2 linked regions of the Ovis aries genome follow. The protein of the gene in region 1 interacts with the protein of each later gene in a biochemical or structural test. Links are inferred from orthologs where the notes say so. Each region holds a gene or a part of one and is shown on either strand. Other genes may lie near its edges.

Region 1 (4,744 bases):
AGTCCCCTCAACAGGTCCCCTCAACCATCCCAACCCATACTAGCCAGAAACCCGCCCATGGTCCCGAGTGCCTGACGCCAAGCATGTCTTCCGGACTTAAAACAGCTCCCACCTGCAGTAGAGTCCGGGACAGAAGTCGATGGCCCTCGAATCGGTGCCGGGAAACCCTGATGCGGCGGCTGGCTCAGCGCTTCAGCGTCGAGCGTGGGCGCAAACGGGGCATCCCTGGAGATCCCAGGTAGGCAAGCGCGCCCAGAGTCAGGGATGGAGTTTCTGGATCAGCGTAGGAAGGACCATCTCCTGGTCCCCGGATTCCCCTGTTCACAACTCCTCCTGGCCTTGCAGACCCCAGAGGCCCATCAAATCGCCAAAACACCGCAAAACAGAGTAAAAACGCGGAAGCCTGTACTGCACTTTGTTTCTAGCACTGGGCTAAAGACACTCGCCTCTGCCGGCTCTTTTCCCCCCAACCGACAGGAGATGACTTCTCTGCCCCAGGTCCATCATGGGCAGCGGTGGCCGCGGGCTCCCCGTTCCTAGGGCCCCTCCGAGACCCTCGCTCTGTCTGGTATCAGAATCTCTCCTCCAGCTCTATTGGCGGCGATGATGCTCGAATTGATCCTTGAACCTCTCCAAACCAGATTCGATCTTGAAGCCACGGGAAGGTTCGGCCTGGCGCGGGCAGACTCTCATCCCCAACCGAGTCATTCCGCGCCTATTCAGATAAATCTGCGTGGCTCGAGAAGACAATTTGGCCCCTAAAATGCTCACCCTTCTCAGAACTGCGCCCTCGCACCAGTTTCCAGCGATAGAATTAACCAGAAAGCCGTCCAGGATCCGGCAAATGGAAGGCAGGCGAGGCTCAGATATGTTCGCCAGGGCCCGAACTCGCCTCTCTATCCCCTCCCCCCTCCCCCTATGCCCCCTCCCCCATCCTCACCTCCCGGTTTCAAGGCGGCGGCGAACTCGGACTCTTAAGCGAAAATACCGCACAGTTCTAAAATAAAATTCGACTACAATAATAAAAACACGAGAGATGTCTATCTGGGTGGCTTCAGCCACCGGAGTCCAATAAGAGCCATGGGTTCAGGGCTTGCGGGGGAGGTCTCCCTCCATCATCCCCCAGGAGCCGGGGCCGGGGGCCTGGTCCTGCCTATCCCAGGCTCTCAATCTCTGTTCGGAAGGGGCGGGGCAACGCCCCAAGGTCTATTTCCCCGGCTCTTGTGGTCTCCTTGACAACCTCCCCCCTGACCCCCCTCTAGTCCTTTTAATAAAATGGGTGTGGCCCGCAGCACCCGAGAAGACCTCTTGCCCCCTCCTCACAATCTCCCTCCTGGCGAAGCAACAGGGCGTGAAGCGAAGAGGCGCCCCGCCTTCGAGCTCCCACCGGGGGTCGCCGGTGCTCCTTGGTGTGCAGCCTGGTGGGGCGTGGCCCGCGGACGCTCCAGGTGTGGGGAGGGGCATCGTTCCTCTGCGGCCACCGGCGAGGCGCGCAGGGACCTCGGATCCCACCCCTTCGGCCCCTCGGAGGCTTTCTGGCGCGCGCCCCGGTTCTGGGAGAGGGCTGCGCGGGGTCACGCCCGGCCCATGCGTGCCCCCCGGGAGGACTAGAGTTCCTCGACCCCGGCGAGCTCCGAGATCTAACAAAGGGCTCGGAAATGAGGGGCAAAAAGCGGGGGGAGGGGCGGGAGCTGTGGTTAAACACCTTCATAGAATAAAAGCCAAAAATCAGGGCTGGCAACACAGATCACGTAAGCCCTACACACAAAGCAGTCAAGCCCCCGAGGAAGATCTCGGGTGAACGACCCCGGTACTCGGGCAACAAAATGCCAAGATTTCAGCGCTAATTGCTCCCCCTCCCCTTAATGACAGTCCCCGCCCTGTCCTCCTGAGCTCAGCCATCCGGCTTGGCATGGCACTCTAAAGACGTGACACACCGCAAAAAGATGGCACCTCGCGATCGGAGGGGAAAAAAGCAGGGGTGGAAGTGGGAGGAGGCACAGCCTACCCTCCCCCTCCTCGCCCACCCGGGTCCACACCCACTGCCGCAGTGAGGGGCGAGCCCTGCGCGCCAGCCCCGCGTCTCCGGCAGGGAGCGCACACGCCGGACTCCCGGCGCAGAGCGCAGAGAAAGGGGCCCGCCCCGAAATGCACCTGCCGCCCCTGAGCGGGTCTGTGCGGGGCTGCGGCTGTGCGCACCCTCGAGCCGGGATCTGCAGCTGCGAAGTCCTTCCATATCCCAAGTCCAGGTGACCCCTGCCTTGTTGAGCCTCCACATTGGGATCCGGGCACTACGTTCTCTCGGGCACTGCGCTGCTCGCGTCTCGGTGCCAGGCGCGCGCAGGGGGAAGGGCAACTAAAGTGACAGCGCCAAGACCCCTCCCCATCTCCCCGATTTCACTCCCAGCCCCCAAATGTCCCCTGCGGGTTTCTGAAGGAGGAAAACGAGAAGAGGGTGGGCCACCGCCTTAAACCAAGGGCCGCGAAAGCCCGGCTGAAATCAGGGCCGGGGAGGGATAGGGAGGGGCAGGCAGGGAGTCATCTTTTCTAGAAACCGATCAATACCTTGTCTGCAAACCGAGGCAGGGAAATTGGATTACAGGTTAGGTTTCGGGGGTCGTCATTGGACCCCTCTCCACCCCCCCCCCCACAGAATCACACGCCCATTGCGGCAAAAGACGGTGTTCGAGCGTGCATAGCAGCCCCCTCCCCCAGATCACCGCCATCCGCGCCCCACCCTGTGGGCACAACCTCTGCCGGGTCCGCGTGAAGCGGGTCTTGTAGACACCCCCCCACACACACGCACACAGGACATACACACACGCGCGCGTGCATCCCTTGCATAGATCCCTTTTCCAAGTCACCCCAATCCCAGCGCTGGAGCGCAGAGGGCGCAAGGAGCGGCCGCCGCCGTTGCCCCCGACCAATGCCCACCTCATGAAACCCATCTCTGAGGAGAGGGGCGGCGGTATGCAGGTGCAGCCGGGCGGACCGGGAGGCAGATTTCGGAGCCTCGCACTTACCTGATAGTCGACAGAGGGCGAGGACAGTAGAGGGAGGCAGAGGAGAAAGTGGCTGTGGTGGCGGCGGCAGAAGGTGGGCGGCGGCGGCGGCGGCGCTGCTGCTGGTGCCTGAGCTGGTGGGTGGCGGAGATTGCGAGCGCGCGCACGAGCGGAGAGGGCGCGCTCCGGCGGCCGGCGGGCGGCGCAGGCGCGAGCCGCGGGAGCGCGAGCCTTCCCAGGGGAGGGGCGGGCCGTGAGGCCTCGGTGGGCGTATTCTCCTCCGGCCACCAGTGGGCGCGCGCGAGCGCCCCAAGGTTCGGCCCTTCCCCGCCTCCCCGCTCTCTCCTCTCGGCGCTTCCCGTCCAGGGTCTCCCCTCCTCCCACGACTTGGGCCGCGGCGCTGACCGCAACGCGCACGCGCGCCCCTTGGCGCACGCGCACTCCGGGTCTCCTGTCGCGGTTGGAGCCTTTGTCTTGTTTGAGGGGTCTCCTCCCTTGGGAGGATGGCTTGGTTGCTCCCTGGGTCGAGAAGGGGCTGGGTGCTCCGCCCCCAGGTCCGCTGCCTCTTTTATCCCCCTGACGTCTTGGAGTGATGTCCTGTCTCGGGAACGTTCTGGGCAAGTTTCCATATGGCCATCCCTCCAGTCCACCCCAGACCTCAAAACCTCCCCGGACTTGCCCCTCTTATCGCTGGCACCCTGACTCTCCCCTGAATTTCCCGAAATGATTCCCCTTGTTGCAGATCAGTTTCCTTGGATCTGCTTTCTTTCGACCTGCTTTCTTTTCACCTTTTTGTTTTGTTTTTGATCAAGGTGAATTCTTGGCAAATCTACTTCAATTTGCTAAGACTTACAACTGAGTTAAGGCTAACTTAGTAGTAATAAGGTAGTGCAAGGTTTTGAAGGGTTTGGGGTTTTTTGTTTTAACAAGGATCATTCACATCTATTATCTTCACCCTAAGAATAAAATCTTAAATTAGATGAAGTTTCACTTACCGCGTTAGAAAACATTTTCACCTATAAAGTTATTTTTATCTTGTTTGTCAAACACTGTTACACTGTATAGAGTTTGAGATCTGGATTTCTAAGTTCCTGCTGGAGATTCTCACCTGGATAACACTGCTTCAGATTGAAACTGACCAGAGTGTTCTTGCCTGGAGAATCTCAGGGACGGGGAAGCCTGGTGGGCTGCCATCTATGGGGTCGCACAGAGTCGGACACGACTGAAGTGACTTAGCAGCAGAGGCTTTCATCCTCTCAGTCAGCCAATCTCTAGGCTTTGTCCTTAGCTGGTCTCCCCAACATCTAATTTAAGCCCTGACAGTCAGTGGGAGGCTTTAAATGCATAAGAGCTTGGGGACCGCTGTCGTGTACTAAAAAGACAGGAATTTGTCTTAAAGCTTTTATTTGCATAGGTCACAATTTTTCAAAACTGTTGTGTGTTATGTGCTAAGTCACTTCAGTCGTGGCCGACTTTTTGCGACCCTGTGGACTGTAGCCCACCAGGCTCCTCTGTCCATGGGATTTTCCAGGGAAGAATTGTGGAGTGGGTTGCCATACCCTCCTCCAGGGGATCTTCCCAACCCAGGGATTGAACCCATGTCTCTTACGTCTCCTGCACTGGCAGGTGAGTTCTTTACCACTCGTGCCACCTGGGAAGTCCTTGTGTGTTGTAGATGAATACAAAAAGAAAGTAGCTAAAGATTGTTTATTCACAGGGGTTTAATTAATATATACTGGGAG
Region 2 (4,907 bases), on another chromosome or scaffold:
TTACCTACCAACTTCCATCTAGTCTTGAATGACTGTAAATTTAATTTTCCTTAAACTTTTAATTTTCCTGGCATAATGTCAGAAGTTAAAAATGCATTAAAAAAATTTCAGAATATAAAATAATGAAAAACAAAATCTGATTACTAATCAGCTAGGTTAGAAAGTTCAAATAGTTTCAGAATTATAAAAAGTATAAATAATTTAATTGTTCAGCATAAAATAAGTACAGAATTCAGTATGCCAAAATATGTACAATATAGATTCTTTGTTAGGAATTGTGAAAAATATTAAAGGCCTACAGAAAATATTCTTAATAACAGATACAGCACGCATTTTACTGTTAAATAAACAAGTATTACTATCTAACAGTATCGTGTGATTTAGCCTCAAACGTAGCTTGTTTCACATGTGTCCCTGTTTTTCTGTAGCTTTGTTTAATCAAAAATATTTGCCCACCCCCAAATTCAAAAGGAGCCACACCTGAGGGTAAGTGACTTAAAAATACTCCCAACATTTATTACGTAGATGTAAGAATTCAACTTATATTTAATTTTGAAGCTATAATGTGGTTGACCATTTTACGATACGGTCTACCACAAGTTAAAAGTGGACAGAAATCAGTAATTGAAACATGTAAAAATTGAATTTGAAAACAGTATTTTAATTAAAAGGCACTTTTACAGTTAAAGTTCCCAAAACATGCTTTTGTAAATTAAACTATGAAATATAGCTTTAATTTATGGTATGTGATACATTTAAGCATCACAAGATAAAAACTATAAAACTTCTAATTATACACAATAGTTAGACTAATATACTCCTATACACTTAAAACAATTATATAGACCACCCATAACCCTAGTCTCATAAGATTCCTCAGAACTACTTATACAGAATAAAACTCACTCTGAACAAGTCACTGTTCAATCTACCTTCACTAAGCATCGAAAAGCCAACTCAGCTTTCAACAGTAATAATTTCTTCTACAACTATAGAAAGAGAATGTTCTTCCTTCTCTAGACTGATTGTTCTAAGCTAAGACTTTAGGAAACAAAACAACCGAAATATGTTCTTTTTCCAATGCAAGAATAAACAAAATTGAAGACTTCACTAGTTCCTAATCCAATATTTTAAAATGGTCATGTTTGAAAGACAAAGAACTCACAGCAGATAAGCCTGTTGTTTTCAAGAAAACAAAACAATTTTTATGAAAACTATCTTTGATTAAAAAAAAAAATCCCGAACAGTCACAACTAGCCTATCGGTTAGAGTGCACCTTTCAAAGGTGTTACTAATTAACATGTGACTAATAACCATTCAATGAAGCACTAATAAAGTAACATAATTAAATCAAAAGTGTAACTGTCCTTAAGAAGTTCCTTACATCTCTTATTCAAATCATATCCAGCACAGACATTTTAAAAAAAGACACATAAGAAGAAAAATCTGAGTTATCTAAACCTTCATAATATATTTTAGAATAATTATATATTATTTTTAAATTTTTTCTAAAATTGGTCAGGGCCATAACTGTAGATTTTAAGTGAGGTCAGCCGGGAGAGAGAGAGAAACAGAAAATAAGTGGAAGTATAACATAAAAACTTCCACAAGAATAAAAAGTTGTTCAACTCTACCCTCGAATTTTAAAATAAATACTCTTATGCGGGGCGGGGGGAGGGGGGAATGGGTGAAGGAGAATTCCCATAGACTATTAAAAATACTGAACCAAAATATGCCTCAACTTTTCCCTCGTCTATAATCTAACAAAACGAGAAGACAATGAAAATAAACACTCCTGTGTGCCCTCAGAGAGGCAAAGAAAGCTCCCATTCAAAGCTAAGCCGTATTCCACTCTTGTAAAGTAAATCCAAAACCACGAGCTCAAACTGCTTCATGCAGAATTTACTGAATGGCGGCCAAACGTTGTACACTCTGTCCTGAACCACAGCGAAGGATATCTCGAGCTCTGCATTCTCCATTTACAACTTGTACCTTACTATGCATGCTTTCACCACCACTGCAGAAACCGATTTTTAAACTAAGATGTTCCTCCCGGCCAAGTCAATGGAAAGAAGGCAATCTACCCGCTGGCGACACTCCCCACCTTCCCCACCCACCCCGCACCCCAAGCAATACTAGTTTTTGACTCCTATACTGCGGTCAGCACACCTTAAAAAAAAAAAAATCATTATGGGAGAAGGCGTTACAAAGCCCCCGGAGAACTGAATTACCGAACCCTGAAACAACTTTTCAGTGGCTCTCACCTGGCACTTGGGATAATCACCTGTTGGAACGGCGCTGCCCCGGTCCCCTCTTACCGGCAGTCGAGGGCGGGGAGGCCGTGTTCCCAGTCACTGGTCCCCCTCCCGGGGCGGCAGGTGAAAGACGGGGAACGCGTATATCCACACCCACCGCCCCGGGAGCGCAGACCGAAAGCCGGGGACCGCGGCTGCGGCGGGACGCTCCGTTATCCCTCCCCTCGGCGGGCCCGCCAGGTGAGCGAGGCTCCATCGCGGCCGCGATGCGTCCCGGCGCACGGCTCACCGCCGGCCCACTTCTCCCGCCGCCCGGGCCCGGGAGACCGAAGTTTCTCTCCCGCTCGCGGCGGCCGCGGCTCACGGGCCGCCTGGCTCTCGGGCGCCGGGCCGCGGGCGAGTCGGGGGCCGCCGAGACAGGAGCCGGAGCCGGGACCTGTTACCCAGGGCGGGAAACCAAAAAAAAAAAAAAAAGCCGAGTGAGGACCAGCGGGGCGCGACCGGCCTCGTCTTCCCAAGGGAGAGCGCGGCAGGGGCGGGGAGCCGCTCCCGCGGCCGCCCGGCTCCGCGCCTCCCGGAGGCGAAGGGAGCCCCGGCCCCGCTCGCCCGGCGGGGCGCAGAGGATTCCCGCGGGGGAGCCTGGGCGCCTCCAGCGCGCCCGCTCCGAGGCGTCTCGGCGCCGCCCGCCCCGCAGCGCGGTTCCCGGGCTGGGGCGCCGCGTGAGGAAGCGGCACAGCGGCGGCAGGACCGCGAAGGAGGGAACGCGGCTCCCGGGGCCGGGCGGCCACCCCGCCTCATCCCCCCCGTGGCCATGGCGCCGGTACCTGTCGCCGTGGCGGCTCGCCCGTTCTGTCGCTCTGCCTCAGCCGCGCGCCGCCAGCCCCTCAGCCCGCCCAGCAGGCCGCCAGCGCGCCGGACGCCGCCGCCGGAGACTGGCAGCGCCCGCGAAGCGGCCAGAGTCCCCCCGGGCAGCGCCCGGCGCAGTCCCGCCCCCGCGGGCCGCAGGACCCGCCTCCCATAGGGCCCCGGGGCTGTCAGTCCGCCCCAAAAGACGCGCGGGCTGTCGCTCCTCCTATCCCGATTGGCGGCCGAACGCCGTCCATGCAAATAAGGCCCCGCCCCCGGCCATTTGCACCTCCGCCTTGGTGTAACCTCCGCCTCCCCCACGCCAGCCCACGTGTCTGGCCCTTGCCCCTTTGTGGGCGCTGTAGGGAAGAGAGGGAGGAAACTGAACGACGCCCCCTCACTCCATCCCTTACCTCCGGGGAAACTAATGCCCAAGCAAGCTAGTGGACTTCACATTGGGACCTCTCTCTGACAGTTCTGCCCTCCTGTCCGCCCACCCGACCTGATTCGCGGAAGGAGAGGGGCAGGCCAGGCTTGTTTGCGTCAGGTAAGCAAGCTAGGTTAGCCCCGGGAAACAATACCAGGGGAACTGGTATTGTCCATTTGGAACTGGGGGGAAAAAATCCCATCTGGAGAAACCATAGCACGTAGCACTTGCCTCTGGACACTCAGGGACTGTTAAGACTAGGCTTTCCCTCCGTCTTCTACCTTTCAAACATGAGATCCCAGGTGACTGAGACAGCAGAGGATTTCTGTGTTTTCTTAAAAGATGTCTGTGTTCTCTGCCGCCTGCCAACGGGTAGGTCTGCTGAGCAGCTGGACTTCAGGAGGGGGCTCAGGGCCCCTGGAGTGTAATGGCCAAACCAAGATTGGGATGAAGGGGACTGAGCTAGCAGCTCCTGGGCCTTAGGGAGTGGCTCGCTCAATCTCATTCTTGAGGAAACAGGAACCTGAAGTCCCACAACTGTGGAGCTTAATAATCACCTATTGAAACCTAACATCTCCTAACTCCACATCTGGCCTCAACACTATATCACCTAGGGTCATTTAGGTATTTATGAAGAGTTTCTTCTGCAAATAACCATCCCTGCCTTCAAGAGGTGCCACCTGCAGAAACAACCACTAGAGCTGACGCTGAAACCTCCTCAGTGAGGGCAAAGGCCCTGCTTCAGGGCCTAGAAGCTTACCTTTTTACCAGATGCCAAAGAGTGTCACTGAAACAGTTTATTTGTGCATTAATTCTGCATACTAATGCCAATCGTTTAAGCATCTACTGTGATTTTAATGGGGCTTCTCAGGTGGCGTGCTAGTGGTAGAGAACCCACCTGCCAAGGCCCGACCGTCAAGAGTCACGGGTTCAGTCCCTGGGTTGGGAAGATCCCCTGGAGGAGGGCATGGCAACCCATTCCAGTATTCTTGCCTGGAGAATCCCCATGGACAGAGGAGCCTGGCAGGCCACAGTCCATAAGTTCTCTGAGACACAACTGAAGCGACTTAGCATACACCCACATGCTTTTTAACAGCCTGGAGTTAAGCACTGTGCTACGCGCACGGTATACTGAGGTGAGAGGACATTGTCCCAGACCTAAGAGACAGTGCCATCCACATTGCATGTCCGTGGGCCTCATGTTTCAGAGATTGTGACAAGATACCTGCATAGGAAGTGGCTATGCATAGACCAGTGGAGGACTCCCAGGAGCAGGGCAATCGGCTCTTCCTGGGGAGGGAGTCAGGGAAGGCCTCACTGAAGACGTGACACTAGATCTGAGTCCTAAAAGAGTATGAAGAGATGGTGTTTGCCAGACT

Evidence for each region. The genes of interacting proteins can lie anywhere in the genome.
Region 2: the proteins of MAPT (region 1) and FKBP5 form a complex in vitro, tested with the Homo sapiens proteins (2 studies listed by BioGRID and IntAct, with this or other methods). The link is inferred for Ovis aries from reciprocal best matches to the Homo sapiens genes MAPT and FKBP5.

What each region holds. Positions count from the first base shown.
Region 1 is NC_056064.1:45,621,859-45,626,602, reverse strand, and holds the start of MAPT (microtubule-associated protein tau), read right to left. Parts: upstream 3,158-4,744; 5' UTR 3,024-3,157; intron 1-3,023. UniProt on the Homo sapiens protein: Promotes microtubule assembly and stability, and might be involved in the establishment and maintenance of neuronal polarity.
Region 2 is NC_056073.1:9,818,588-9,823,494, forward strand, and holds the start of FKBP5 (peptidyl-prolyl cis-trans isomerase FKBP5), read right to left. Parts: upstream 3,190-4,907; 5' UTR 3,080-3,189; intron 1-3,079. UniProt on the Homo sapiens protein: Immunophilin protein with PPIase and co-chaperone activities. Component of unligated steroid receptors heterocomplexes through interaction with heat-shock protein 90 (HSP90).